Linked DNA regions of Rattus norvegicus. The protein of the gene in region 2 interacts with the protein of the main gene of each other region in a biochemical or structural test. Links are inferred from orthologs where the notes say so. Each region holds a gene or a part of one and is shown on either strand. Other genes may lie near its edges.

Evidence for each region.
Region 1: the proteins of Hdac4 (region 2) and Esr1 form a complex in vitro, tested with the Homo sapiens proteins (2 studies listed by BioGRID). The link is inferred for Rattus norvegicus from reciprocal best matches to the Homo sapiens genes HDAC4 and ESR1.
Region 3: of the proteins of Hdac4 (region 2) and Camk2d, one has a biochemical effect on the other in vitro, tested with the Homo sapiens proteins (2 studies listed by BioGRID, with this or other methods). The link is inferred for Rattus norvegicus from reciprocal best matches to the Homo sapiens genes HDAC4 and CAMK2D.
Region 4: the proteins of Hdac4 (region 2) and Zbtb16 form a complex in vitro, tested with the Homo sapiens proteins (2 studies listed by BioGRID). The link is inferred for Rattus norvegicus from reciprocal best matches to the Homo sapiens genes HDAC4 and ZBTB16.
Region 5: the proteins of Hdac4 (region 2) and Nacc1 form a complex in vitro, tested with the Homo sapiens proteins (2 studies listed by BioGRID). The link is inferred for Rattus norvegicus from reciprocal best matches to the Homo sapiens genes HDAC4 and NACC1.
Region 6: the proteins of Hdac4 (region 2) and Nr2c1 form a complex in vitro, tested with the Homo sapiens proteins (2 studies listed by BioGRID). The link is inferred for Rattus norvegicus from reciprocal best matches to the Homo sapiens genes HDAC4 and NR2C1.
Region 7: the proteins of Hdac4 (region 2) and Pparg form a complex in vitro, tested with the Homo sapiens proteins (2 studies listed by BioGRID). The link is inferred for Rattus norvegicus from reciprocal best matches to the Homo sapiens genes HDAC4 and PPARG.

Annotation. Positions count from the first base shown.
Region 1 is NC_086019.1:43,770,190-43,773,689, forward strand, and holds part of Esr1 (estrogen receptor), read left to right. Parts: intron 1-525; coding exon 526-861; intron 862-3,500.
Region 2 is NC_086027.1:100,005,638-100,009,137, forward strand, and holds part of Hdac4 (histone deacetylase 4), read right to left. Parts: intron 1,974-3,500; coding exon 1,857-1,973; intron 1,769-1,856; coding exon 1,570-1,768; intron 1-1,569. UniProt on the Homo sapiens protein: Responsible for the deacetylation of lysine residues on the N-terminal part of the core histones (H2A, H2B, H3 and H4).
Region 3 is NC_086020.1:217,697,223-217,701,350, reverse strand, and holds the start of Camk2d (calcium/calmodulin-dependent protein kinase type II subunit delta), read right to left. Parts: upstream 2,801-4,128; 5' UTR 2,579-2,800; coding exon 2,514-2,578; intron 934-2,513; coding exon 839-933; intron 1-838. UniProt on the Homo sapiens protein: Calcium/calmodulin-dependent protein kinase involved in the regulation of Ca(2+) homeostatis and excitation-contraction coupling (ECC) in heart by targeting ion channels, transporters and accessory proteins involved in Ca(2+) influx into the myocyte, Ca(2+) release from the sarcoplasmic reticulum (SR), SR Ca(2+) uptake and Na(+) and K(+) channel transport.
Region 4 is NC_086026.1:58,070,708-58,074,908, forward strand, and holds the start of Zbtb16 (zinc finger and BTB domain-containing protein 16), read right to left. Parts: upstream 2,801-4,201; 5' UTR 2,730-2,800; intron 2,706-2,729; exon of another isoform or gene 2,459-2,705; intron 2,163-2,458; exon of another isoform or gene 2,021-2,162; intron 1-2,020. UniProt on the Homo sapiens protein: Acts as a transcriptional repressor. Transcriptional repression may be mediated through recruitment of histone deacetylases to target promoters. May play a role in myeloid maturation and in the development and/or maintenance of other differentiated tissues.
Region 5 is NC_086037.1:40,383,515-40,386,600, reverse strand, and holds part of Nacc1 (nucleus accumbens-associated protein 1), read right to left. Parts: intron 1,451-3,086; coding exon of another isoform or gene 1,443-1,450; coding exon 539-1,442; intron 459-538; coding exon 285-458; intron 1-284. UniProt on the Homo sapiens protein: Functions as a transcriptional repressor. Seems to function as a transcriptional corepressor in neuronal cells through recruitment of HDAC3 and HDAC4. Contributes to tumor progression, and tumor cell proliferation and survival.
Region 6 is NC_086025.1:30,651,107-30,654,606, reverse strand, and holds the end of Nr2c1 (nuclear receptor subfamily 2 group C member 1), read right to left. Parts: intron 967-3,500; coding exon 792-966; 3' UTR 459-791; downstream 1-458. UniProt on the Homo sapiens protein: Orphan nuclear receptor. Binds the IR7 element in the promoter of its own gene in an autoregulatory negative feedback mechanism. Primarily repressor of a broad range of genes.
Region 7 is NC_086022.1:150,094,616-150,098,630, reverse strand, and holds the start of Pparg (peroxisome proliferator-activated receptor gamma), read right to left. Parts: upstream 2,801-4,015; 5' UTR 2,497-2,800; intron 1,574-2,496; exon of another isoform or gene 1,448-1,573; intron 1-1,447. UniProt on the Homo sapiens protein: Nuclear receptor that binds peroxisome proliferators such as hypolipidemic drugs and fatty acids.

The DNA.
Region 1 (3,500 bases), on a different chromosome or scaffold from region 2:
AGTGTACACAGAGACACATGTACACATATATTCACATATACATACACATATATACATATGCATACATGCACACATGTACACACAGAGACATATGTACACATATACATACATGTACACACATACATACATAAACACATAAAATACATACACAGATACATAGACACATGTACACATATACACACATGTTCACATAAAATAATACACGGATACACACATATATATGTATATAAATATACATAAACACACACAAAAGCATACACATACACATGTGCACAAACACAGACATGTATGCACAGATAAATACACATGTGTCATACATATATGTGTACACATACATATATATGCTTACACATACTCATATACATACATATATACAGACACACATGTGCACACAAAATTACTTGTATGTTAGAGACAACTACTACTCACTCATAAAATTCTATTGTTATATTCCCAGGAGCTTGTTCTGAGATTGACAGGCAAAAAAGGTAATCAAATTTGTTCTTTATCCTTCTGTGATTTCAGGGATACGAAAAGACCGCCGAGGAGGGAGAATGTTGAAGCACAAGCGTCAGAGAGATGACTTGGAAGGCCGAAATGAAATGGGCACTTCAGGAGACATGAGAGCTGCCAACCTTTGGCCAAGTCCACTTGTGATCAAGCACACTAAGAAGAATAGCCCCGCCCTGTCCTTGACAGCTGACCAGATGGTCAGTGCCTTATTGGATGCTGAACCACCTTTGATCTATTCTGAATATGATCCTTCTAGACCCTTCAGTGAAGCCTCAATGATGGGCTTATTGACCAACCTGGCAGACAGGGAGCTGGTTCATATGATCAACTGGGCAAAGAGAGTGCCAGGTAAGAATGCTAAACTCCACTTCCATGGAAAGAGTGAATAACTTTTCAACAATTGGGTGTGGTAAGGTGAGGGGGGAAATAGAAGTGTGCTATGTGATTAGAGAAAAGGCTGTATTAGAATTTGTCAATTGTCAATATAACCTACTGTATTTCTCTTGATACCTAGGAAATAGCCTTTAAAATTTAAAAGTAAACACCCAGCAGACTAAAACCTTAGGCATACTGTTTTTGGCCAGTCTTCTTTGCTCAAAAGACTTGGATGAACACTACATACCACACACATATATGTCCTGTCATGCAGATATCACATATTAAAAATACTTAATGCTTGGGGATCTGTGGAATTGTTTTTATTTCTAATGCTATCATTCAAAACACCTTTATTGAGAGGCAGTTTGTCCATATGTAATCCTTCACCAAATATTGGCGTACACTAAAGGCCGATAGTTTATTTGTAGAATGCCAATTATTTATTCAACTTGTTTCCTGCATGGGATGTCCAGAGAAACAAAGACACAGTGGTCAAACCAATGCCAACAACGTCCTAGGGAGCATTTAGAAGGTTCCAGAAGCTGGAGCGATGCTCTACCCCTCTTATTGGTCTCTCAAGTGCTGCCTTTATGGCTCTTGAGTGTTCTTGTTTAAGGAAAAGGACTCCAGTTATGATGGAAACAAGACCGTCCCATGCCTCAACTAATGGATTTCATATGCGGAAGTCTGTGCCGAAGCAACAGAAGGGTGGACTCTTGTTTTCTGGCTTACAGATTAAGTCAATGGGGGATGTAAATATAGAGCTTTTTCTCCTTGGGCTTCAATAGATCTGTGACATGTGGGATATTTTATCCATTTTTATAAAACTAAAATGCATGTGGCATTTTGGGCCTTGATTTCCAGAGTCACTGACAGAGTCTGAGTTGATGGGGATCTCCCCTTGGGGAATCTTAATGCATTTGCATAAACCCACATATAAACATGCTGTTCTTTGAGTAAGAAGGCAGCAATCCATTGAACCAAACTGACTACAGGGCATCCATCTAGGTGGTTGGGTAAGTAGGGTACGTAGAACAAATTTAAGTTTCGAGAATCGTTCTGTTGGACAAAAATTCTTGGCCATCTGAAGAGCTAAAAGTTTTAATTAGCACCTAGATATTTTAGCATTGTTTTGTGAGGCAGATACAGATACCTCAGGATTGGAATTACATAAGGATATATGTTTTTCCTTGAAGTTTGTGTCTGTTTTTATACTTTGAGAAGAAAAGAAAAGAAAAAGAGAAACCACAAGAGATTTAATGGCCGTACCCATGAGAACCAGATCTGGGCTGCTATTAAGTTTTTATTATTCTGTAAACATATCCCTTATGAGATCCTGAAAATTCTTGTTCCAGAGCCGAACTGTGGGTATATGCTGAACCCAAGCATATTTTTTTATTTTTATCTTTATTTTTAGAGTTACACCTTAACATTTTATGATTGATACTTTGTTGTTACTATTGTTGTTTATGTCAGGGCGCTTGCTGGGTAGTCCAGGCAGGCCCTGAACTTATCTTTCTGCTTCTGTCTGAACGAGTTCAACTATATTACTCATTGATGGAAGATTCAAGAAAATAGCCTCAATTTAGGATTAAAATAGAAGTCAAGGCTAAAAAGATGCCATTTTCGTGTTAGCTAATTCATTGTTAAACTCAGCATTAGACATGTGTGATGATAACATATGTAACAAAACTACTCTCAAATTTCTTTACGCTAATCAAGAGGGCCCAATATCTTTGGGTTAAACTATATTTTGTGAATTGGTCCCTTAGAAAAAGGAATTATAGAATCATAATGCAATTATGTACAGTCATGTGCCCTGTAACAACATTTTGCATAACAACAGGCCTTGTCAATAGAGTTAGGCCTGCATGTTCTATAGGTTAGAGCAAGGGCAGGTGTCATTGTTGGTGGGTCTGTGTTTAACATGGGTCAGTTTGTAGAGAAAAGCAGATCCACACAGGCATGCATTCCTCTGATGTGTCACTGTCATGAAGAGACACAAGGCTTTCTGTTTCTCCATTTCTCCATCTGTCTATTTCTCTTTGTCTATTTCTGCCTTTGTCTGTCTGTCTGTCTGTCTGTCTGTCTGTCTGTCTGTCTGTCTCTCTGTGTATGTGTACCATTAAAATGCAGCTTTGTAAGTGCAAAGCCTACTTATCTAGAGGAAATGGAATGAAAATAGCCACTGATTTAAAAAAAGGATGAAAAAAAGAAGAGCAGACCTAATGCCCTTAGGATGAACTCTGAAGATGACTGTGGAAGTTTGCAATGAAAATTTTACTTTCAAAAGACTTTATATACCCAAATACCTCCGTCATTTAGAAAGATAGTTTACACTGACGAGCTGGTATAGGGAATGCCACATTTATGATAATTTAGGAATAATAATGGCAATTTCAGAAAGGGAAAGAGAAACATGGCGAGGTAGAACAACAGCAATGGAACCAGTAATGTGATTTGGATTTGAGAGAGGCCAAAGTGGTTTTTAGGGAGGACTTGGAGGGCAGAAACAGAGGTTGGGGGAAATGATGTAACTGCACTGTACTCTCCAAAGAAATAATTAAAACATGTACACAACAGGAGGTAAAGAAAACACTTCAATAAAG
Region 2 (3,500 bases):
ACTGGGAAAGCATCAGATCTCCCCTAGAGGCATAACAGCGGGGCTGCAGAGAGAGCAGGCGAGTGCATGCAGATGGTGCAGGGCAGCAGGGGCTGCAGGACAGACAGACCTGAGTTCAAAGGAGTGGGAAGGACTTAGAGAAGAATGTGTACTTCCATAAAGTTCCCTTGGTCAGCCTGCCCAGGAGGAGGGCTGTGGTGCAAGGCTGGAGTCTCTGCTAAGAGCTGACCCATCTGCCAGTGGTGTTGTGCTCAGACAGCGCTGAGGGACGGACGGCAGCTATGGCCACATAAGTAGAGGCATGCTGTACTACTACTTTGGCTTGGATGTTCACAGGCCTGTGCTCTACAAGCAGTATTATTCTTCATTGCTCTAGACAGTAGGGAATTTGGCCTCTAAAGACAGCTGTGGTTGAGCAGAGGAAACCCTGGTCAGGAGGCTCCTTTCCTCAGGAGAACAGAAAGAACCTAGTGAAGCCAGGATTAGAGAAGAGGTGCCGGGAAGAGTAGACGGACTGCTGGGGAGAGTGTGGCGTCTGAGGGTGAATCACAAACACAGGCCTGACATCCCAGCATTTAGGAGACTGAGGTTAACAAGGTTTAATATCAAAACAGCAACAAAGGGCCAAGTAAATACAATAAAGAGACAAACCAAATCTAAAACCCAGTCCAACCCCAAAGGAAAAGCCTCAACCAGGAGATCAACACTGACTGGTGCTGGGTGTCAGACACTGCCTATGGGAACCGAGTCTTTTCACTTTGTCACTCTGGGCTGGTATCTCATTCACAGATGGGAAGATGAAGCCCATAGTGACAGATTTCCAAGAGAACAGACAGGAAGGGGCCTAAGTGTAATGAGTGTCCCATGGTCACTGGGACACTGCTCTCCAGAGCTGGAGCCGGGTGTCCCAGCATGTCCAGATCACTGACTTGGGAGAAGCAGGTGCACACTGGAGACAAAAAGCACAAGACAGGAAGGAATCCAATACAAGCCCTACCGACCGACCAACCAGAGGCTGGCAGGGGAACACTGGAACATGTATAAGGCCAGCCCTAGGATTGCTCTGACTGTGATTCGGAGTGAAGCAATAGGTGTGAAGTCACCCACTGACCTACAGATGGTGTAGAGAGCTGGGCCGAGTCACCAACACGTAAACATTCCACATGCCATCATTTCTGAAACAGTACCTCCAAAGCATGGTCACTAGGTAAATGTCACAAGTTTATCTTTCTCTAACTTGTATTTTTCTTAATGTAATCATCCTCAAGCTGAAAAATCACTGGTCAGTTCTGAACTTCATACACTTGCTTCTTCAAGCTGTAGGGAAAACTATCAGTGGGAGAGCAGGAGGCTCAACAGAGGGCCACTGGCACTGACTTCTACTCCATGGTCAGCTTTCTAAGCAGGGCATAGTTTTTTGACGCAGCTAAGGTAGGTGGCTACCATATCACAGAGACCCATAGTTTCTCCTGTTGTATGGCTCGGATGCTCTTTCCAGTCTTCTTTAAAAGCTATAGGAGGTTAGCTATGGCTGACCTAACTGCACAGAGACCTGGCTATGCTTCTTACCTGTGACAAGGGGCGTCTGGGTGGGTGGCTGCTCCAGCAGGACCATGTGCTGCAGGAGGGGGTTGTGAGCTGCTCCACCGTCCCGCTCCAGGGGCGAGGTGCTCAGGTATGGGGTGAGGTGGGTCCCAGGGAACAAGGAGATTCGCTGCTGGAGGGCTGGGAGAGCAAGCCTCTCAGCATCCTGCTGGCCTGCTGCACCCTGAAAGGCACAGTCAGTATACTCAGGCTGTGGAAACTGAGGCAGACAACCACCCCCACGCCACACAGACTCACAGAGGCCAACTTACAGCAGCAGGGCCAGTGGCAGGAAGTCCCAGGGTGATGTTGGGCAAGGATGGTGATGTATAGAGAGGAAGTGGGGCAACAGAGCCTTCTCGAGTCACAAGTCTGTGTGCCAAGCTCGTCTGTAGACAGAAGACATTGTGACCGTCAGAGTCTGCTACAGATGTTCCAATACAAGCAGCACATCCAGGACTGCAAGGGGCACTTACAGCATGAGGTGCTGACGTGTGGTTACCTGGTGCAAAAACAAGCTGCTCAGACTGTGGCCTCCAGTGTGGGTAAGGCCTTTAAGCATGCCACAGGCAGAGAGTCAGGACTCCCACTCCTGAGGTTTTCCCCTCCTAATGGGTTCCTGCTACCTTGTTTGTTTTTATTCAACCTACCTACTTACCATAAAACTATGGATAGGATATTTAGAACAATGCATCTTAAAATATTTTTGTAGTTAGGATGTTTCCAAGAGTGACATCAAAAGCAGAAACCAGGGAGAAAGTTAATGGTGAGGAGGAGAAACCCTGTTCTCATAAAGGCAGGTGATGATGGCAACAGGATCTGCAGTGCACAGGGAAAACAAAGACTGGAGTATAAAGAACTTGTCAATCAAAGACCAATTAACATGAGAGCAGAGCTCAATAAAGACAATGACAAAAGAACCCATTTCAAGGGAAATGAAAAAATGCTCAACTTTCATCAGTGACTGAAAAACATATTTATCAAGTCATCAAACTGACAAATTTTGTAAAAGTGCAGAAAAGCTGAACCGAGTGGTCATGAGATTATAAACTGATGTCCTTTCTGCAGAATGATTTGGCAATCTGTTTGTAAGCTTTAGAAGCAGAGTTGTTCTTGATTGTGAGGCTTCACTCTCAAGATACAGTGGGAAGAACAGGCCTAAGGAAATGGCTCAAGCACCTGAAGTTAGCTACGGTCATTTAAGTAGTCACATGGAGGCAGTAATATATGGCTTCTATCTATATATCTATATATGCTCCAAGTCACAGTTAAAAGAACACATGGATTTGTACATATCAACACACAGAGGTCAGGAAATGGCCTGCTAACCATGCTAGCTGTTACTTCTGTTTATTAGTGTCATTATTCTGCCATTACTCACATTATTTCTAAGGGCAATGGTAGAGTTAGAGGTAGGCTTAGGGTAGGTTTGTCATTAGAGTTAGTGTTAGTCCTTGGCTGGGGGCAGAGGTAGTAGGCTTAGGGTTAGGGTTGTTGGCAGGGCTAGGGTTAAGATTGTGGGTAGGGTTAGGTTACAGCTTGGTATAAAGTTAGTATAGGCGCTTCCTGGGAGTACTGTGGTTCTTCAGTGGACCAGGGCTAGTAATAAATTGCACACTTTGCAGGAAAGTGAGTATGTGCAGTTTGTGATAAGGGGTGTGTTAGCTACCAGCTTCTTTTCCTGCACAGAGAGGTTTTTGGGACACTACTAGGGTGCCCCAAAGATCCCACCATGCATAACCCACACATGAGCAGCCTTCAGCCACTGCTCATTCAAGTCTAGCATTTGAAATTCAAAAGGAATGTCCACATGTGATCCAGGACTCAAACACCAGCTCGGTCTGTGACAACAACTGTCTGATGAGAAATGCCGGCATTACTGTTCTTGGGGATGCTCTGGATGCTTTAATTTGTGG
Region 3 (4,128 bases), on a different chromosome or scaffold from region 2:
GTCACTGAGATGGGTCTGCACTATGGTATTCTGTTTCTTTTGATTCCAGTTTAATTCCATCAAACCATAAATTCCCTCGGAAATGCCGTAGACACCTCAGTCAGTGCAATGCCAGAATCTCGGCATATGTTATTTTGTTTGATTCTAGACAAAATAATCATAATCGCAGTCATCATAATGTGGGCACATAATGTGGGCTCCGTGTTGTTGTTGTAACTTATGTCAACAGCCTTCAGGATGAAGTATCTGTGTGGCTGTAAGCTGAAGGTTTACAATAGAGTGCATGATCTGGTGGGAAGTTGAATTCAGGAGACCAAGAAAAGGCCTAGCGTACACATAGCAAAACCAAGGTAACTTCCTAGATTACAACAACCATCTCTCCCCACTTCCCAAGGCCACTGAAGTTAAATATACCTCGATGTATTACGTTCAGCTGTAACTACACCTGTGATATACATTCAACTGAACCATGACCCATTTTTTTTTTTTTGTCTCAAAAGTGAAAGGCAATTATGACAGTTAGGAGACTTGCCTTTTTTTTTTTCAACCTAAGATCCTTCTGAAAGGATCTCAGCAAGGCCCCTCATGACATTTATTTGCTTTGCAACACATTTATTATATTACTGCATTTCGATAACTCATTGATAACAATTATATCTTTCACTTAACTCACAAAGTAAACAGACCACGAGGCCTTTGGCAAAGATGAGCATGTAATATGATGCCTAAGTCTAAAATTCAATTATAATTCCATGCTATAGTTAAAGAAAGACACCAACGACTCACACAGCAAATACGAAATTAACATATATAAATAAGTGCGGTTTAAAATACCCACCCCTAGCAGAAAGCTTTTTGGTGTTGATAATTTTGGCAGCATACTCTTGTCCAGTAGGGATTTTCATGCATCTTCTCACCACTGAGAATGCCCCCCTGGAAAGCAGTAATTAGCAATCATCAGTATAATCAGATCCAGTATCCACTTGCAAACTCACAAATCTGAGCAGTTTGATGAGTCTTTAGCGATCTGTCAAGTATCAATATAATAAAAAAGCATCATCTAGGAAATGAACGAATCTTCCCTGCCGAACCAGATCCTTTCTAATGTTGTGGAATAAAAGTAATTTTTAATTGACTGGAAACAAACAGATTATTAATCAACAAAATAGAAGGACATGCCAATTATAACCACTCTTGTTTGCACATGAAATTTGAAAACAATTTATAATTCACACTCATAAAACACCAAATGCTCATGGCAAACCCTGCAAAAAGCAGAGACCGGGAACAGAAGAAAAAAAAAACTGCTGCATGTTTATTTCGGTAGAAAACACAATTAACGTGGTTCCAAGTGAAGTAAATATGGCGATTGTTTTCATTAAAACATAAATCTCGAGCTCACTGGTGTGCTTTAACAGGTCCTGGGCTAAGGTGATTTCTCTCTGCCTGGTTTGGGCTGGGGGAGGGGAGAGATTTGAATTAAGCTGCTCTCCCGACATGTCTGCATGTTTCAACAGCTGATCATCTATAAAGATATCATTTTCGTTTGATTTAAAAAATGCTCACACTTCCTTGTATGCAACTGTACTAAAAACCTACAACACACACACACACACACACACACACACACACACACACACACACACACAAATGCATCCTTTCCCTGATAGTGGAAATTAGCGATAGAAGGACTGGTTTGGGATTTGATGCTTGTTACCAACACTCCCGACTGGGTCTCTGGTTGTCCCTGTACGATCTTCAGTAGGTACCCAGTCCCTCTTTAACATCTCAAAGTACTTCTGGCACTTCGGTGGAGGAGGTCCTTTTTCAAAGGCTAGGCTACCCTGGGGAAGCGCTCTCTCGGGCTCCAGGGCTTTTCTCTCTGCCTAGATAAATAAATCCTCTCAGAACCGAGGTACACGTAAATCCTAGAATGATGGTGAGCGAGTCACCTTAGTGCAAAGAAGGATAGCGGATACAGGGCAGGGACGTGGGTTCTGTTGGGTGGCCTTTTCCTGGACGGAACAACTACTTTGGATGCCGAACCAGACTCTCCACCAAACCAAGTTGAACTTTCGGCATCGATAAACAAGGCACCATCTCTGAGAACTAATGCTCATTAGCTCATCCTAACCTGTATCAGACCGCAGATACACCGCGGGCTGAGCAAAAGACATCTACAGAAAAGGTGATAAATGTTGCATTTTACATGCAATCTCCTTTCCTCCCCGAACACACACACACATTCACACTCGCGTGCGCGCACACTTCTCAGGATGACAGCTACAACTGCAGAGATCGTAAATTCACTAAGTCTCCAGTGGAGAGGTGGAGGACCCGAGGAGATGAGCTGGGGATTCGGGGCACCCGCCACACTAGGGCAAAGGTTTCTCCCCACTGTGCCCCACCCGCACCAAGCCATGGTCCGTCACCCCGCCTCGGCCCGCGGGCTCCCTGTCCCCACGGGGGAGACGAGGGGTCGCGGGGAGGAGGTGCCAGGCAGGGACGCTTACTTTCCGAGCTCCTCGAAGAGCTGATACTCGTCGGTGAACCGGGTGCAGGTGGTGGTCGAAGCCATGGCGGGGTCTGGACAGTGCGACGGGCGACACGCGAACAGACGCGGCTTCCCGGGACTGGCACCGCCGCGCTGTCACCCGGGGCCGCCCTCACTTTCCTTGTCCGAAAGTAGCTCGCCGGCGAGGGAGTGCGCGCAGGGGCGGGGCGCGCGGGGCGAGGTGGCCAGACCAGCCCGAGCCGCGATCCTTCTTCCTCCTCCTCCCGCCGGGCGAGCGCTCCCGAAGGGGCGGGGGGGAGGTGTCAGGAGGGGCTGCCGCGGTCACCGAGGCCGCACGGAGAGCTCAACGTAGCGCCCGGGGTGGCGGGCGGCAGTGGCCAAGAGTGAACACCCAAGGGGTCGCTCCTGCGGGCGGAGGCGGCGCTGGTGGCCTGCGCTCTCTCCCCACGGGGCCGCAAGGCTGGGAACCTGCGGGCGACAGAGTGCGCTCACTCGGCTCAGGCGAATCTGGCAGCCGCGGCTCCTCCCCGGCGCCTCCTCCCGCCTCTCCCCGCCCAGCGAAGCCCCCTCCTCGCCAGCCCCACACCTCCCTCTAGCGACTCCAGCCGCGTCCCTCCGGGCTGCTCTCCCGCAGCCGTCTAAGGAGACCGGAGGGAGGAGATGTGCAGAGCCCCGGGGAGCGCGCTTAAGGGGACGGGACAGAGATGTCGCAGTGACCCACGAAGGGACGGAAAGATGAGGGACAACTCGCAGCTCCCACACCCGGGATGTCTCTACCCCGGCAGTGATGGCCGTGATGCCGGGGAAACCGAGAGCGGGATGCAACCCTTGCATCTGGGCGCGGTTCGTGTTTACTGCTCCCAGACCCCAGCCCTACGTCTCCCGGCTCACAGTGACTACCGGGGGCTGCCAGCCCTGGCCACCTCTGCTTCGCCTGGCCGTCCCTTAGCTAGGAGCAAGGATGGTCAGGGCACCACGTTTCGATTCAGTTTTTACTTTCACCTCTTCGCCCTCCTCTCCCGTTGTTTTCCCAACTAGGGCGATCCCCAAAAGCATTTGCTTGGCCATAAAGCCTAACATAATGAAAGCAAGAAGTGCACCACGCTGCCACACCTTCCTTCCTCTCCAGAGTAACTCCCCTGTAACCTCAGCAAGTTCTGATAGTAAGAAGGGCTCTCGCGAGATGTCCCACTGTTGGTGGCAAGGGGGTGGGGCGTTAGGAAGGTTGGCTGCGGGTCACGCGACCCAGAATGGGGCTGACGTCATTAGCGTCACGTGAGCGTGTCTAGCCTGTTTCTCTTTGCAGAGGGAGAAGGAAAGGGAGAGGGAGGTCACAAGTTCTTTGCTTGCAGTCTCAAAGAGCTGGTCAGGTAGGGGCACAGGAATGTACTCCCTCAAGGGCTATCTGAAAAACCATTTAAGAGTTCAAGAGCGTGGCCTACAATTAAACATATGTGACACAGTTGCTTAAAAGTGAGCATGGAGAAAAAAATTAGCATGTAAGGTAGGTAAGTTGTAACTGGCTGCTAAGATCACTTCGGGGCCTTCTTTCCAGTTCCCAGTCTTTAATAAACGAGGCAATTGCAGATTTAGAGGACTATGGAAAATAGAAA
Region 4 (4,201 bases), on a different chromosome or scaffold from region 2:
TGAAGCAGTGCATTGGATAAAGTGCATTGAATCCTAGCCATTCTTTAAGCCTGAGAGCAGAGCCTTCCTGTGTAAGACCAGTGTCCAACATGAGGCTCACAAACTTACTTAAAATTAAGGAGTTTTCAACCCCTCCCCTTAGTCAACCTAAGCATTCAGTCTTACCGCTCACCCCCTCCCTATTGGCAAACCCTCATCCTCAATGGCTTTCTAGTTCTCGCTCACTGAGACGGCCTTAGGAGACAACCAGAGCCTGCCAGCACTGGCTGCTAAACATGATGGTTGGTCTCCTATCTGCAGGCAATGGGGTTGTCCTCTCCTAGTCATCCCAGACACATCTCCTCTCCATCATCAGTGACTTCTACAGCCTTTGTCCTTGCACTCTGGTCAGGGCTGCAAAGGATTGGCAGACCCATTTCTTAGGCTGGGACAAACACACCCCACCACACACACCCCCACCCCACCCCTACCACATCACATTCTAGCTTAAGTCATTTCTAACTACAAGTTCCTCAAAGTTGCTGTATGTGTCCAAGAGATGTGTGTGTGTGTGTGTGTGTGTGTGTGTGTGTGTGTGTTCGCTCACCCACATCTACATACAATTATACAAGATGCTACAACCCCCTCTTTTACCTCTGGCCCACAAGGCACCAATGGACAGAACGCTCTAAGAAGAGAAAGCAGAGAACATCATAGGAGGCTATGTTCCCAACAGCCTTGAGGGTTCACACCAGACTGGATGCCTCCCAGGTGTTGGCAAGCCCAGTGACAAGGAGAAAAACTGACACTGAATATGGTTCTGTAAGTGACATTGGCACCAGCATCTCTGGCGTGAGTTAAGCCCAGAAGGAAGGGAAGACAGAGCTGAGACACAAAGGCCTCTCCCAGAGTGTATTCTGGATGACTGAGAGGCTCTCGACTTTGAACAGCCATTGAGACATGGGCAGAAAGACCTAACGGGATAAGGTCTCAACCTCTGTCTGCAGCCAACATTTCACACAGCCTGGGGAGAGAGGGTGGAGAGAGCTAGGCTTCTCACGCACTCTTCATAGAGCATGCCTTCACCCTCAACGAGAGTCTTAAGGACCCTTAGACGCAAAACTCATGCAGAAAGAGTTAACAGTACTGGCTGGCCACTCTTACTGCCCACCCCAAAGTAGAAACGGAGGGCATCAACAGTGGTGAGATATTCATTCGTCAAAAGCTTCTTGAACATGGTGTGCTTTCGGGAGAGATCAGAGATTCAAGAACTAAGGGAGAGAAGCCGAAATAAAGAAGGTTCTCTGCCAAATATCTTCCTCCAAAGGAGCCTTTTGAGCCTTAAGGGAAATCAAGGTGCCCTCTCCCTAACCCGCAGCTCCGCACCCGATCCGACTGTCGCTAGGTGCAGCGGTCAGCCGACTCTGGGCAAAGCCAGCGCTAACCCGCCACAGAGCTCCAAGGATCGATGGCGCAACACACCCCTTGTTCCCAGAGACCCCCCGCCTAGACTTGCAGAGGACTTTGGCAAACTTGGAAAAGCAACTTTTCCCCGGGAGTCAGGTGCCTGGAAGAAAGGGATCGGAGCTGAAAAAAGGAGGAAAGCGAAAGAGACCCGGGAAAGGAGAATGTCCGAGCCGGCTGGACGCCGCTGCTAGGCCGGCCGGACGGCGCAACCCCCCGGGGGAGAAAAGGAAGCACAAAAAGCCCCGAGGCAAGTGGTGGGAGGCCAAGCGAGAAGAGATCTCTGGGTCCTCCACCTTCCACCCAGGATCGAGATCCCTGGGAAGCCACCAGCAGGGTCCCCGGCCTCCCGCACCAGCTGCCGGCGTGCCCGAGTCAGACACGCTGGGAGCGTGGCGGGGAGGAGGCGAGCTGGTTGCAGCGGTGCGCGTCTGTGCATTCCGGTGGGGTCCGCAGGCTGCCAGGATCGTGCGCATTTCGAGCGCGTGCGGGAGCGTGCGAGGGGCTGGGCAAGCTTGCAGCGCGCCAGGGTGGGAAAGACATTCCGAATGCATCAGGTGCAGAGCCGGGAACCCACCGTGCGCGGCCGGGAGCGCACAGCGAGCTCCGGCTCCACGGGCTGTTCCCACCGAGAGCCGAGGAGGACCCGGAGCGCCAGAGTCTCTCCGAAGCTTCCCTCTCTCCTTAAAAGGGGGCATCAAGTCCAATCAAGAAGAAGAAAAATCCCACCACGTTTTCTCTAAAGAAAACAAAACCCGAGCGGGTACCAGTCCCCTCCCACCCGCCCTCCAGGTTCACTCCTCGCTTCCTCCGGTTCCAGCTCCCCAGCCCGCCAGCGAATAAACACAAATAAATAAGACACAATCCTAGCTCACGCCAAGCGCACCGGTCCGCATACATATGAGCACCCACAGGCTCTCTGCTCCTCCGCCAGCCCTTGCCTGTACAAAGACACCCAGTCCCCGACTATACGCTCCCGCAGCCCTGGCAGACCTCCCGGCCTGCCACCTCTCACCCGGACCGGACCGTGCCCGGAGGAGGAAGGTTGGTGAGGCAGCTGCGCCCGAGCTGACAGCCTCGGCTCCGCTTTCTAGCTGACCCCCAACCGGCACGGGCGATCGCTGCAGAAGCAGCAGCAGCAACCAGAGAACCCCGCACGAGCCCAGCGGCCGAGTGGCCAAAGCTAGCGCCACCCGCCTAAACCTCTCCCGCCCCAGGGCGCCTGGCGGGAGGCGGTCGCTGGGCGGTGCGAGTCCTTCCCGGGTTCCCTACACACATACACTTACCGCTTGCAGAGCCGGGAGCTTGGGGTGGGTGTGCGTGCCTGGGGGGTTAGGGGTGTGCCTGGATCGGGGAAGGGGTGTTGCTGGGGAACTGTTGCTCCGGATCTCACGGCGGCAGCGGCGGCATCGCCCGGCAGTTCGCAGTACCCGCTCTCATCACCCTTAACTCCTCTCTGCCGCTAGGTTAGCAAATCACCACCGGCTGCGGCGCCTCCGCCGCGTCCCACGTCAACGCCGAGCCCCCTCCCCTGCGAGGCCCCGGCGCCTCTCCATCTTTAGTGCTGGCGGCCGAGCCCGGCTCCCTGCCCACAGCTGCCCCCTCCCCTCCCCCTGGCCGGCCCTGGCCCGCCCACCCCGCCCCACCCCCGCCCTGGCTGAGCCCGTGCGCGCTCCCAGCCCTGCCCTCCCTTCCCGGGCGCTCCCCTCCCTTCCCAGCGCTCGGCGCTCCGGGCTTCTCCTGACATCTAGCTGCTGCCCCGGCGCCAGCGGCTGTTGCCCGTGGCTAGGTGGAGAGGGCAAAAGGTTGCAAGGAAGAGGAGCCGCAGAGGATCTGGCAACCCCCAAGGGGTCAGAAGGATGAGAGGGAGGAACAGTTCCCACTTTAGCACCAGGTTTTTCATTTCCACTGGGCATGCGGTTTATCCCGCGTCCCCAACTCCCCCAACTCCGGTGCTCAGGAGCGCAGTTTTGTCCCGTTCTCTATTATTTGCACCAGTGTGTGGCATCTAGCCTTTCACTTTTCCTCGGGATTCGGACTGCATCCTTCCTTACCCTAGACACTAGTTTTAAATGGGTCGTTTCCCCAGTCCCAAACCAGGCCTCTCATGCCTGCCCGCGGGGATGAGCGTCTGAGTTAGCGGGATTTGGCCAGATAAATCCAGAGGGGCCAGTAGAGAACTGGTAGGAGGTGACACCTCGGTTTTGCAATCTAGATTGTCGCAAACTGAGATGTCAAGGCCCGAGTAGTAATACTTTCTCACTCCCAATCTCAGGCATCCTCCCCTTATTTTCCCCCGGCCCCAAGAACCTGGATGGAAAGTTGTGAAGATCCTGCGCCTAGCTCAGCTCAGCCTTCCGGAGCGACTGGAAGCTACGAAGAGCGCTAGGCCGCTCCAGAGTTCTTTCTTCCCTCGGCGGCTGGCCCACTTTAAAGGGCGTAGTTGAGATGCCAAACCGTAAACCAAAGAAAAATCTGTCCTTCCTCTACCTGCGGAAAGCTCCGTCTCTTCCTTTTCACATGAAACTGGGCAGGAGATTGGGGGGGGGGGAGGTACTTTTCTGAGCTCGAGCCTCCCTCAAAAGCCCCAGCGCAGTGTTTGTTGGGGGTGTGGTGGAGAGCGCCACCCAGGGGTCTCAGAAAAGTCGCCCACACAGCCCCACCCTCAAGTCATGAGGTCTTAGTTCTAGGCTTCGGTTTAGGGATGCTGTGTCCTTGGCTTACCACGGATCTCCCACAGGAGTCACAGAATCGCATC
Region 5 (3,086 bases), on a different chromosome or scaffold from region 2:
GCCTCCCCATCCTGAGTGCTAGGATTATAAATGTACACCACTGTGCCTAGTCTATACAGTGCTTGGTATGAAATCCAGGGCTTTATGCATGCTAGGTAAGATGGTTATTACCAGCTGAATCATATCCCCACTACCAACTCTCCTACCCTAACACACCACTCGTCAGGGCACCTGCTACTAACAGTTGCTCAAATGGGAATGGAGAGTGTCAAGTGCCCTGAGACACAGGAAGGGTGCTAGCTTGCAGAGCACAGGGGATGGGCACGAAAGCACAGTCAGCACACCTGTCACAAGCTCCAGCTTCTCTGAGGGGTCGCCTTCATCGTAGAGCTTTGGGTGGCAGCGATTGCCGATCTGGTTGATGAGCTCAGCTGGGAGAGATGCCAGGTCTTGCCGCACTCGAATGCGACTGTGGGACTCAAGGACGACCTGCTCAGGAAGAGCCTCCACCTTCTCAACTGTGGGAACAGGGGACAAGCATGTTTATATGTTAACGCTTGTGCGTGCACGCACGCACATAAGGGAGGGCGGCACTCACCTGTCTGGCCAACGTTCAACATACTGTACATGGTATACATATTGCAGATCTGACGGTACTGCTCATCTGTGCCCTCCTCACCTGCATCTTCCTCTTCGTCTTCTTCGTTGTGGTAGGAGCTGGGGCTGTCACTAGTGTAAGCACTGGAGGTACCTGGGCTGGTCCGCTCTGACATGCTGGGCCCACTCACACATCCCCCCACTGCAACCACAGCCACTGCTGCTGTAGCTGTGGCCACAGAGACTGGCTGGGGCATCCGGTTAGGGGCCAGGTCTGGCGTGGAGAACTTGGCCATCTTGCGGCTGCCATTGTTGCCACCACTGCCTCCAGCTTCCTTCTGGCTGCTATCCCATAGCCTCTTGGCCATGGGTGTGCATTGCACCGAGTCCAACTCCTGTTCTGTCTTGACCCGTGACACAAGGGGCAGTGGCGTGCTACAGGCTGGCCAGCCCAATATCTGCGCTACAGGACTCTGAGGCTCTGAGGATGGGGCCTCCTCCGGGTGCAGGCCCTGGGAGTCGCAACTTGGAGAGCTAACTTTGAGGAAGAACTCAGTGCCTTTCTCCATGATCTCCTGGATCTGCAGGAAGCCGGCTGTGTAGATGAGCAGGAACTGGTCCCCCATGTTCATGCTCAGCCGGCCTGTATAACAAAACGTGAGGATCTGCTGGAATGACTGTGGCTGCACAGCGGCTGGCAGTTCTACCACAGCACTGCGGCTGCTGTTGAATAGGTCCCGGAAGTAGGAGCTGCTGGCGGCCAACACAGCACGGTGGGCTTTGAAGGCATGGCCCTTTACCACCACTGACACGTCACAATACAGTCCCTGTAGCCGCTGCTCATTGAGGCACTCGAGGATGCTGTTGCCAAAGTTTGGAATCTCCATCTGCAGGGTCTGCGCCATGGCAGCAGCTGCATAAGGACAGGGGATAGATACTGGACAGGTCAGGTGGCAGAAACTAACATAGGCCCTACCCTGCCTCAGCAACCTCGCCTCCTGTAGGACAGCATGTGGGAGTCAAAGTAACATCCACATGGTAAAATCTATGATACATCTTAGAATGGCAGTTCCACATCCACTTCTGTCCCCTCACAGGCCCACCTTTATGACTCAGTCCCTGCAGGGGACTGATGCAAAGACACTATAGATACTATTATGCACAGCCACTCAAACCCTTCACTTTCTGGTGGAGCTTGGGACAGAACCCAGGCCTTTAGCGTGGTAGGCAAGTGCTCCACTACAGACCTCCTGAGTCTTGTTACTCAGCTGGTCTGAGTCTTGGTCTCCACCTCTAGAGTACTGGGGTCACTGGTGTGCTTCATGTATGTCGCACAATCTCCAGGACTTACACTACCTGGTTTGATATCAGCACTATGTAATTCTTCCCTTATTCTAAAGTCTCTTCTGTTAGAGGCACGCTTCCCATTATAGCTGGCCTGGAACTCAGGGCACCAATCCTGCCTTAGCCTTCAGAAGGTCAAGATGTATGAATCATCATCAGTATGAATCATCACATCTGGATTTAAAATGAATGCGCTGGGCAAGGGCTGGAGGGACAGTTCAGTAGTTTAGAGCACTTGTCTCTTGCAGAGGACCAAGGTTAGATTCCAGGCATCCAAACTTACAACTATCCATTCCCCCAGTTCTAGGAGAGCCAACAGACACATATGCATACATACACACATGTAGGCATTATCATGCATATAAAATAACAGTAATTCTAAATAAAACTTAAATATTCTCATCAGTGCTGGGGGATGGAACCCAGGGTTTTACAGAAGCTAGGTACATACTCTACCACTGCGTTTTACCATCAGAGGAACGCTTTGTGGATCTATGGTTGGTTGAATGTGAGGATACAGGGCCTACAGACTCTGAGAATAGATGGCCAAGATCAGTCTCTTGCACATAAGATGACACAGGCACAGTGCATCCAACATTCTTGCACTCATGTTAAGAATGGCCGTTGGCATGACAATACCACCATCTATGGCCCAGAACATGGCCTTAGCGCACTTACCAATCGTACAGCTAGTCACCATGAAAATGCACATTCAAACCATAATGCAAAACAGCCTTATGCTATAGGCTCGAAAGCAGGAACAAAGCAGGCAAAAGGCTGGGTGTGTGAGCAAGGTTCTAAGTTCTAGCCACCTCTATCTCCACAGTAAAATATGCCAAGTCTTACCAGGTGAGAACTTTGAACTCTCACACACCACTGGTGAGAATATGAAAAACAACTTGGGAAGTCTCAAGGTTCTTCATATGATAGGAAAAAGCCAGACAGAAGGACCACATGGCATAGGATTCCATTTACATGAAGTCTCCAGAAAAGGCAAATGCATTAAAACATAAAACAGAAGGCAGCAAAGAGCTGGGGAAGAATGGGATTTGCTTAGAGCAGAGAAATGTGTGCTTTCTCTCGGTAGATAACTTTAAGTTAACAATGACTGATCTTTCCTGAACTCTGAATCCATGAAAGACCGTAACAAGCTAGGTGTGGTAGGCCTAGGAACTCTGGAGGGCAGAGGGGAGGAGTCACTGGGT
Region 6 (3,500 bases), on a different chromosome or scaffold from region 2:
GGACAGAGGCTTTCTGTGGGATGAAAAAAAACAACTATTTTACTATCTATTCTAAAATACTAACACAGCCCGGGGGCGTCTCTACTATGTTTAAAACACAGTAAATCCCAAATTTTAAAACAGGATCCTCATCCTATTCTCAAGAGTAATTTTCTACCACAACGAATAAAAGTGCTTGTAACTAATAATCTACTACACTAAAAAAAATACAAATGGCTCATGTCTCATTGCCAGCAACGAGTGTTATATGCTAACGGGCACCTTGATGTGTATAAAAGCATATATATATTTATTTCCTATAGCTCTGGCATTATCATTACATCATTGAGCATAAAATAACCTTTTGGCCTGGTAACTAAGATAACCATGGATGAGTCAGACGTAAGAAGTTTCTGCTTAGGTATCTCATTGTTACAGTATACAGGCCCAGTGGCATTAAACAGGAAAAAAACACAATTCAGGGGGGAAAGACTAGTTTATTTGTTTTATAAAATAGAATGAGAAAGCTTAGTGTAGACAGTCAGGAGGAGAGAGTCTTAAGTGTCATCCTCCCCAAGAACAGCCCCGTACCATTGTTGATTCATTCCTATAGGACAGACAGGGTAGTATAATTCCTGACCCCTGCCTGGTCACTTAAATTCTTCTTAAGGAATCCAAAAGAAAAATACTTTTGATTTTGGTTACTCTTAAAGTTAATATTCGCAGATGCCCTGGAAGAAACAGTTCGATTTGGTTTCATGTGTTCCGAGAAGGAACGGTAAACTTAGCCTGGAGCAGGGTGACCTCCACTTTCAAAGGCTGTGACCAATTATTTGAGAGTTGTAATCTGCAGGCTCCATTTTTAAAATGTGTGGGATGACACTGTCGATCCGTACGTTGCCAATGAGACCTTTGAAGAACAATTCCTCAGTGATGGTGGCATTCATCAGCCGCAAGGCCGGCAGTCTGAGAAGTAATCTAGACAGCCTGAAAGAGGAAGAGGAGACGGGGGCAAAGTCAAAAGAACAGGAGCAGAAAGAAAAGCATCCATGTGAAATAATGAAGATCAAAGTTTCAAAACTGAGGACGAGCATTTTGGAATGGCAGGGCTTAGAGTGGCAGGGCTGCCACCCACATCGCACCGTCCCCTCCACAGGAAAGCTTTCCTCTGAACTGCCACACCACACTGTGCCCACCTGGCTACAAGAACTGTGCGACTAAAGTATTAAATCACGGGTTAGGTGCACTCAAGAACAGCTTCCCAACCCATTTCAGAGGGTAAGAACAATGCTCTATGTTATCAGAACACAGGAGGTTCAGAAACTCTTTTCCTTTGAAAACACACACAGACACATATACACACATATAGACACACACAGACAGATACACACATACAGTATACATATACACACTGTGATGGTCTGTACATGCTCAGCCCAGGGAGTGGCACTATTAGAAGGTATGGCACTGTTGGAGTAGGTGTGGCCTTGTTGGAGTAGGTGTGTCACTGAGGGCATGGGCTTTAAGACCCTCATCCTAGCTGCCTGGAAACCAGTGTTCTGCTATAGCGGCTTTCAGATGAAGATATAGAACTCTCAGCTCCTCCTGCACCAGATCTACCTGACGGCTCCCACATTGATGACAATGGACTGAACCTCTGAACCTGTAAGCCAGCCCCAGTTCAATGTCATCCTTATAATTAGAGTTCTTGGTCATGGTGTCTGTGCACAGCAGTGAAAGCCCTAACTAAGACATACATAGACACACAATCACAGATATAGACACACATTCATATAGATTACACACAGACAAACACACTTAGATACAAAGATACACATACACAAGTATAAAGAGACACAGACAGACAAAGACACACACACACATACACACACACCCATAGACACACTAACAGACACAGAGACACAGAGATACATATACACATAGATACACATACATAGACACAGGCAGACACAGACATAAAAAGACAGACAGACACACACACACACTCTTAGAAATGATATAACAGACAACTGTTATAAAGAGCATAGATAAATAAAAAGGTCATTAGGCTCAAAGAATGACTCAACTGTCCCTTGTGTCATTTCCTCTTTCCACAGAGCTGGCGTGAAGACGAAGGACTGCTTCCTGTCCAATTCTAGGTTGTGAGCAAGTGTGTCTGAAGTGGAAAAGCGCTGTTCAAGGGGACCGACTTTTGAATAAGCAGGAACGTAAGAACTGAGAAAGCATCCTTTCCCTTGTGCTTTGGGTGGTCAGAAAGTAAAGCGGGGAGTGTCATCTGACCACTGAGGTGGACAGTCAATGCCGAACGCCCCAGCAGTCTGCAGCAGGGTACGCCTGCAGAGGGGGAAGCAGGGGTACTGCAGAGGGGGATGCAGTCAAAGGCGGGGCAAAATGAGAGAGCACGACACGCCGCCTCCTGCTACTCATAACAGCACGCCATTTAGAGTGCATGGGTAATCTCCGGGATTCCTTGTTTCGTGTTTTTTGTCTGAGAGTGACCACGGGTAACAGAGGCTGTGCATAACGAAGCCTACTGGACTTTTCAGAAGGGCATACTATTATCATAAGGAACGTGAAACTCAGACATTAAACTCAGCAAACATGGCATTATCCGTGTATAATCAAAAACTGTACTTCTAATCATTCTGATCTACTGTGTTTCCTTCAGAGGTGGGTGGCTGTTTTCATAAAAATAAGAAAGGAAAATTCCCTCCAACCCCAAAGAACACTGGCGAAAAATGACTTGGAAGAATTATCATAAGCTATATTTCAAAGCTAATTATATATCAGTTTATAAGTGTTTTAGTTTATCATTTTCATCTCTCTTTTTACTAATACAATTATTTCATCTGAAAAGTTGGGATCTACAGCTCATCTGCCTGGGTGAGGTTTGGCTCTGACAATCCTGCATCCTTCAGACAGTTTCTCACCCTCACAATTTAAAGCAGTAATTTCTCTACCTTCCCAACCCTGCAATCCTTTAATACGGTTCCTCACGTAGAAGTGACCCCCAACCACAAAATTATTTTGTTGCTACTTCTTAACTGTAATTACAGTATGTTAATTACACTATGATGAATTGTAATATTAATGTCTGATATGCAAGATATCTGATGTGAACCCTGTGAGAGGTCATTTGACTCCCAAAGGGGTCGCAACCCACAGGTTGAGAACCACTGATTTAGATCGAGCACTCATTAGCCATTGTTAACAGCTGGTTTCTCCCCTCTGTATGGGAGACCACACCCAGAGCCTTGTACTATGTGTGTTACCACTAACCTGAAGCCCTGAACTCTTCTTCATTGGTAGTGATGAGGAGAAAACAAGGACCTTATGCACACTGAGCAAATATTCTAGCACTAAGCCTTCAAAAACATTACCCACTTCAAAGGTCACGGTTAACTAAGACACTAAATTACTCTTAAAATGGAATATAATAATGGAATAAATTTACTCAAAAGCTCTCAGGGCAGGCATGCCGCATGCCTGTGTATAATCAT
Region 7 (4,015 bases), on a different chromosome or scaffold from region 2:
ACTTACTAACTGAACACAATCACTTGCATACTCAGTAATCCATTTCTACGTCAAAAATGTAAAGTCATGCTTTTATCATATATGAATTTTAAATGTCAAAGGGACTTTGAAACTAATGATATGATTTTTTTTTTAGTGTGACTTTCCCTTTTTTGTTAAAGTGACGCTGAGATATGTAGTGACGTGAATGCTAAGAAAACCAGTTCCTTTAAAGGAAATGTACTGAATTATTAAAAATAGTTATCACAAAAACCATCAAAGTAGTCTTAAATATTGATGTGTATGATGCTTCTGGGTCTTTTAGTTCTAATTTGTTTTAAAGAGCTTATATTCTTTTAGATATGAAAGGGTGAGGACACAGCATGTAAAAACTCCTTGGTCTAGAGGTACCCAGAACTTCAGACTTCACGGCGCCATTGTTCTTCAGCAGTTTTAAGAGTTTGAAACTTTTACATATGAAAAAGATTTTTTTCCTTAAAAATAAAACTGTCGACAATCTTTTCCCTTCTAGTGAGCTGCAGAATATTGAGATGGCCACCAGTTGCTTTTCAGATCTTCTCACTGAAGATACAAGTCTCAGCAAATTAAAATATTGAGGTAGCACTTAAACGAGCAAATTCACACAAAACACACAGTAAAATAAAAATGGATGGCTTTGTAATATGCTTCACTCCAACTAATGCATGACACTGACTTCAAATTTCCGTATATTAAAATTAATATTTTGGACATTTACTTTAGAGCAAATGCGGTTGAAGATAAGGCCACAGAGAACTTATTTTAAAGTCGAAACCGAATCTTCTGAAACATCGCTTCCAAGTGCTCTTAGCATCTATGAGCGCGTCTGTTAAACATTCAAGAGAAGTATCTCTTTGAGAAGTCACAATGTATGTCAGCTCCTACCCTAGCCAGGCTTTAAATCACATAGCACCTGGACCTAGCTATATTTTTAGTCAGCAGTTGATCACTTAGCTATGGACAGGAGGACTCCCACAGAGCACCTGATATCTTTGGAAGACCTGCCCAAGTCCAAGACTAAGTTATTCATTTAATAACTCCGGTTAACAATTTGCTTTGTGCATGATAATAAAGAGTTGACATTATGATAATGAACTCCAAATCAAGAAAGAGGCTTTCCAACTGTTAGTTACCCTCCAACTTGGTTCATCTGGTTTTGTTTTCAAATGATCATTTCAATTTACATTTTTGTCCTTCATTCTGCTAAAGAAGAACAACTTTAGCTTCTGCCTGACAGAAAACTCAACTCTTGATTTTTTTCCTCCTCCTGAAGTAAATGACACGACCTTCCCACCGTTAGCATCAGAAGCGAAGCAGATTCTTACAGTACAAGAACACAGCCAAACCATCCTGATGTGTAAGAACTTGGGGCAGTTTGGCCACTTCACAACACCCTCTAACAAAGTGCCATGACGATGCAGCCACTCACCTACTCAATGGGAGTTAAGATGAATTTAGCGCTGCAGCCTTCTGATCACCAGCAGAGGTCCAGGCCCCTTCTTGACCTCCTCGAGTCCCTTATATAAAAGCAGCCCAGGCTACTCCCAGTTTCTGCCTCCTCACCTTAGGCTCCTCCCCACTCCCAAGCCATAAAGCACCGGAGCCACACACCCACCTTCCACCCCCACCACGAGGGCTGCCTACTCCAGTTAGCCCTGCCCTGTGCTCGCCCCCTTCCTAGGCTGAAGAGGGGCACTGGTGGGGCGGGGCCTTGGCGACAGTGACCCCATTTTCCTCACACCTGGCGAGCCCCGGGCGGGCGGGAGCCCCGGGCCAAGTTGCTTAGACGATCACCGGCGCACCCTCCTCCCCCCACCCCCAGCGCCTCGGGGTACCCGGTGGCTACTGGCGAGCCCCTCTCTGAAAACTGTCACCAGATCCACACAATGCGGCCTCCCGCGGGAGTTCTGGACCGTGCGGAGACCTGGCTTTCCTGTCAGGGTCGGGCTGCCCGGGCTACCCTGCTCCGAGCTCGCACACGCCTGCCGGAGCACCTTCTGAGGAAACCTGAGGTGGCTCCACTGTGGCCCTCCGGGCCTGCCGGGCCGTGCCCCTCACGAGGACATTCACCTTGTCAGTCACACTCGGCTCTCTAGGCGGGTGACCGGTCCTCAGCCGAGACCCCTCACTCCGACCCCGCCCCGCTATCACGCTCTCTCACTCTTCTCCTAAGTGACTTCTCCTCAGACCGCATCCCCCTCAGACCCAGACTCGATCACCTTGTCTGTCACATTTGGTCCTGTCAAGAGTATGACTTCTCCTCAGTCCCCTCAGTTAAGATTCCGTCACTTTGTCTGTCACGCTCCGTCCTGTCAGAGTGCGACTTTCCAGCCCACGTCCCCTCTAGTTGAGACAGGATTAGGCTGTCAGTTACACAGTCCTGACAGAGAGTGGCTTCTCCTCATCCCGCGTCCCCTCAGCCGAGACCCAGTCACCTAGACAGTCAGATCCAGTCCCCACAGGCCGAGGCCCCCTCACCTTGTCTGTCACACAGTCCGGTCAGAAAGTGACTTCTCAGCCCGCGTCCCCTCAGCCGAGAGAGACCTCGTCAGGCTGTCAGTCTCACCGGGTCCTGTCTGAGTATGACTTCTCCTCAGCCCGTCCCCTCAGCCTGGTCACCTTGTCGTCACACTCAGTCCCCTCAGGCCTCACACGACCCGGTACCCCAGTGCGGCGCCCCAGGTCTCTTCTTCAGCGTCCCTGCGGCGGGCCTTGTGGCCCGGGGCGACTCTGACCTGAGGCGGCGGCTTGGCGGGCAATGTGCGTCCGTGCGGCCGACCCGACCCGAGCGCCCCAGGCGGCGGCCGCTCCGAGTGCGACCGCCCCGCCTGGCCGCGGACGAGCCGAGCTGAGCGACCCGGCCGGACCGGGGGCGGTGCCCAGGGAGAGGCCGGAGGCCCCGCACCCGCAACCAGAGGCCGGCGCCCACGAGACCCGCGTGGCTCTTCAGCGCCCGGCACCCCGCGCTGGTTACCTGGCCGCCTTGCTCCTCACAGTCGCTGGGAGGCGACCCAAGAAGGTCCCACGTTCCTCAGACAGATGCCCATGGCCCGGCTGGTGCCCTGACTGTCACGCAGAAGTTTGTTTTTTTCTAGATGTACTTTTCAGTAACATTTAAAAATAATAATAATAACAATAATAATATAAATTAAGTATATTTAGGATCTCTTTTTATTTTTATTTTTACTCTCAGAACAATATGAAGGAGAACACCTTCATAAACTGACTTTGTGTTAACCATTTAATTTCCTTTTAAATACAATTTTGTGTGTGTGTGTGTGTGTATGTGTACTGAGAGGCATGGTCTCTCTGGGGCTGGAGTTACAAGTGGTTGGTTGGTGCTGGGAACTGAACAAGGGTCCTCTGGACAAACACTAAGTGTTCCTAACCTCTGAGCTGTCTCTCCTGCCCTCAAACTATTTGTTAACCTTGTTCACTAAAGAACAATTAAGAATTTTTAGAATTCTTTAGCACCATTTCTTGCATGGGGGACCTTACACACAGTGTGGAAAGGACTTGGGAATCTCTTGTTTTTAGTTAGAATTTTGGAGCATCTTGTCTCAGGAGCCTGAAGCATGCATGATGGACAGTTCCTTTTCTTGCCCTCTTTCAGCTCTTTCTGTCATGATCTGTCCTAAAGATGCACATTCAGAAAGCCGTCGATGTTCAGGACACCAGAGGACTTTCTTTTACCCTTTCCAATCTTATTGATGAAAATCTTGTTCTATGGCTCTCCTTTGGGAGGTACTGACCTTTGGGAGTTTATAATTGTGCTTCTTGCTCAGGATGCTCCTCCACTCTTAGCATCTTTGTTTGTTGGGAGACAGGGAATTCTTTATTCTTCTGGTACTAAACATCCTCACCAGGGGTTTGTAAGTATGACACTATAATGAAAGCTCAGAGCTTGAATCAACAGATTCATGTCCTTCCACCCTAAAGCCCTCAAATAATAAGACACAGATCAGGTTCATATAGGGACTCTAAAGCCCATTTTACT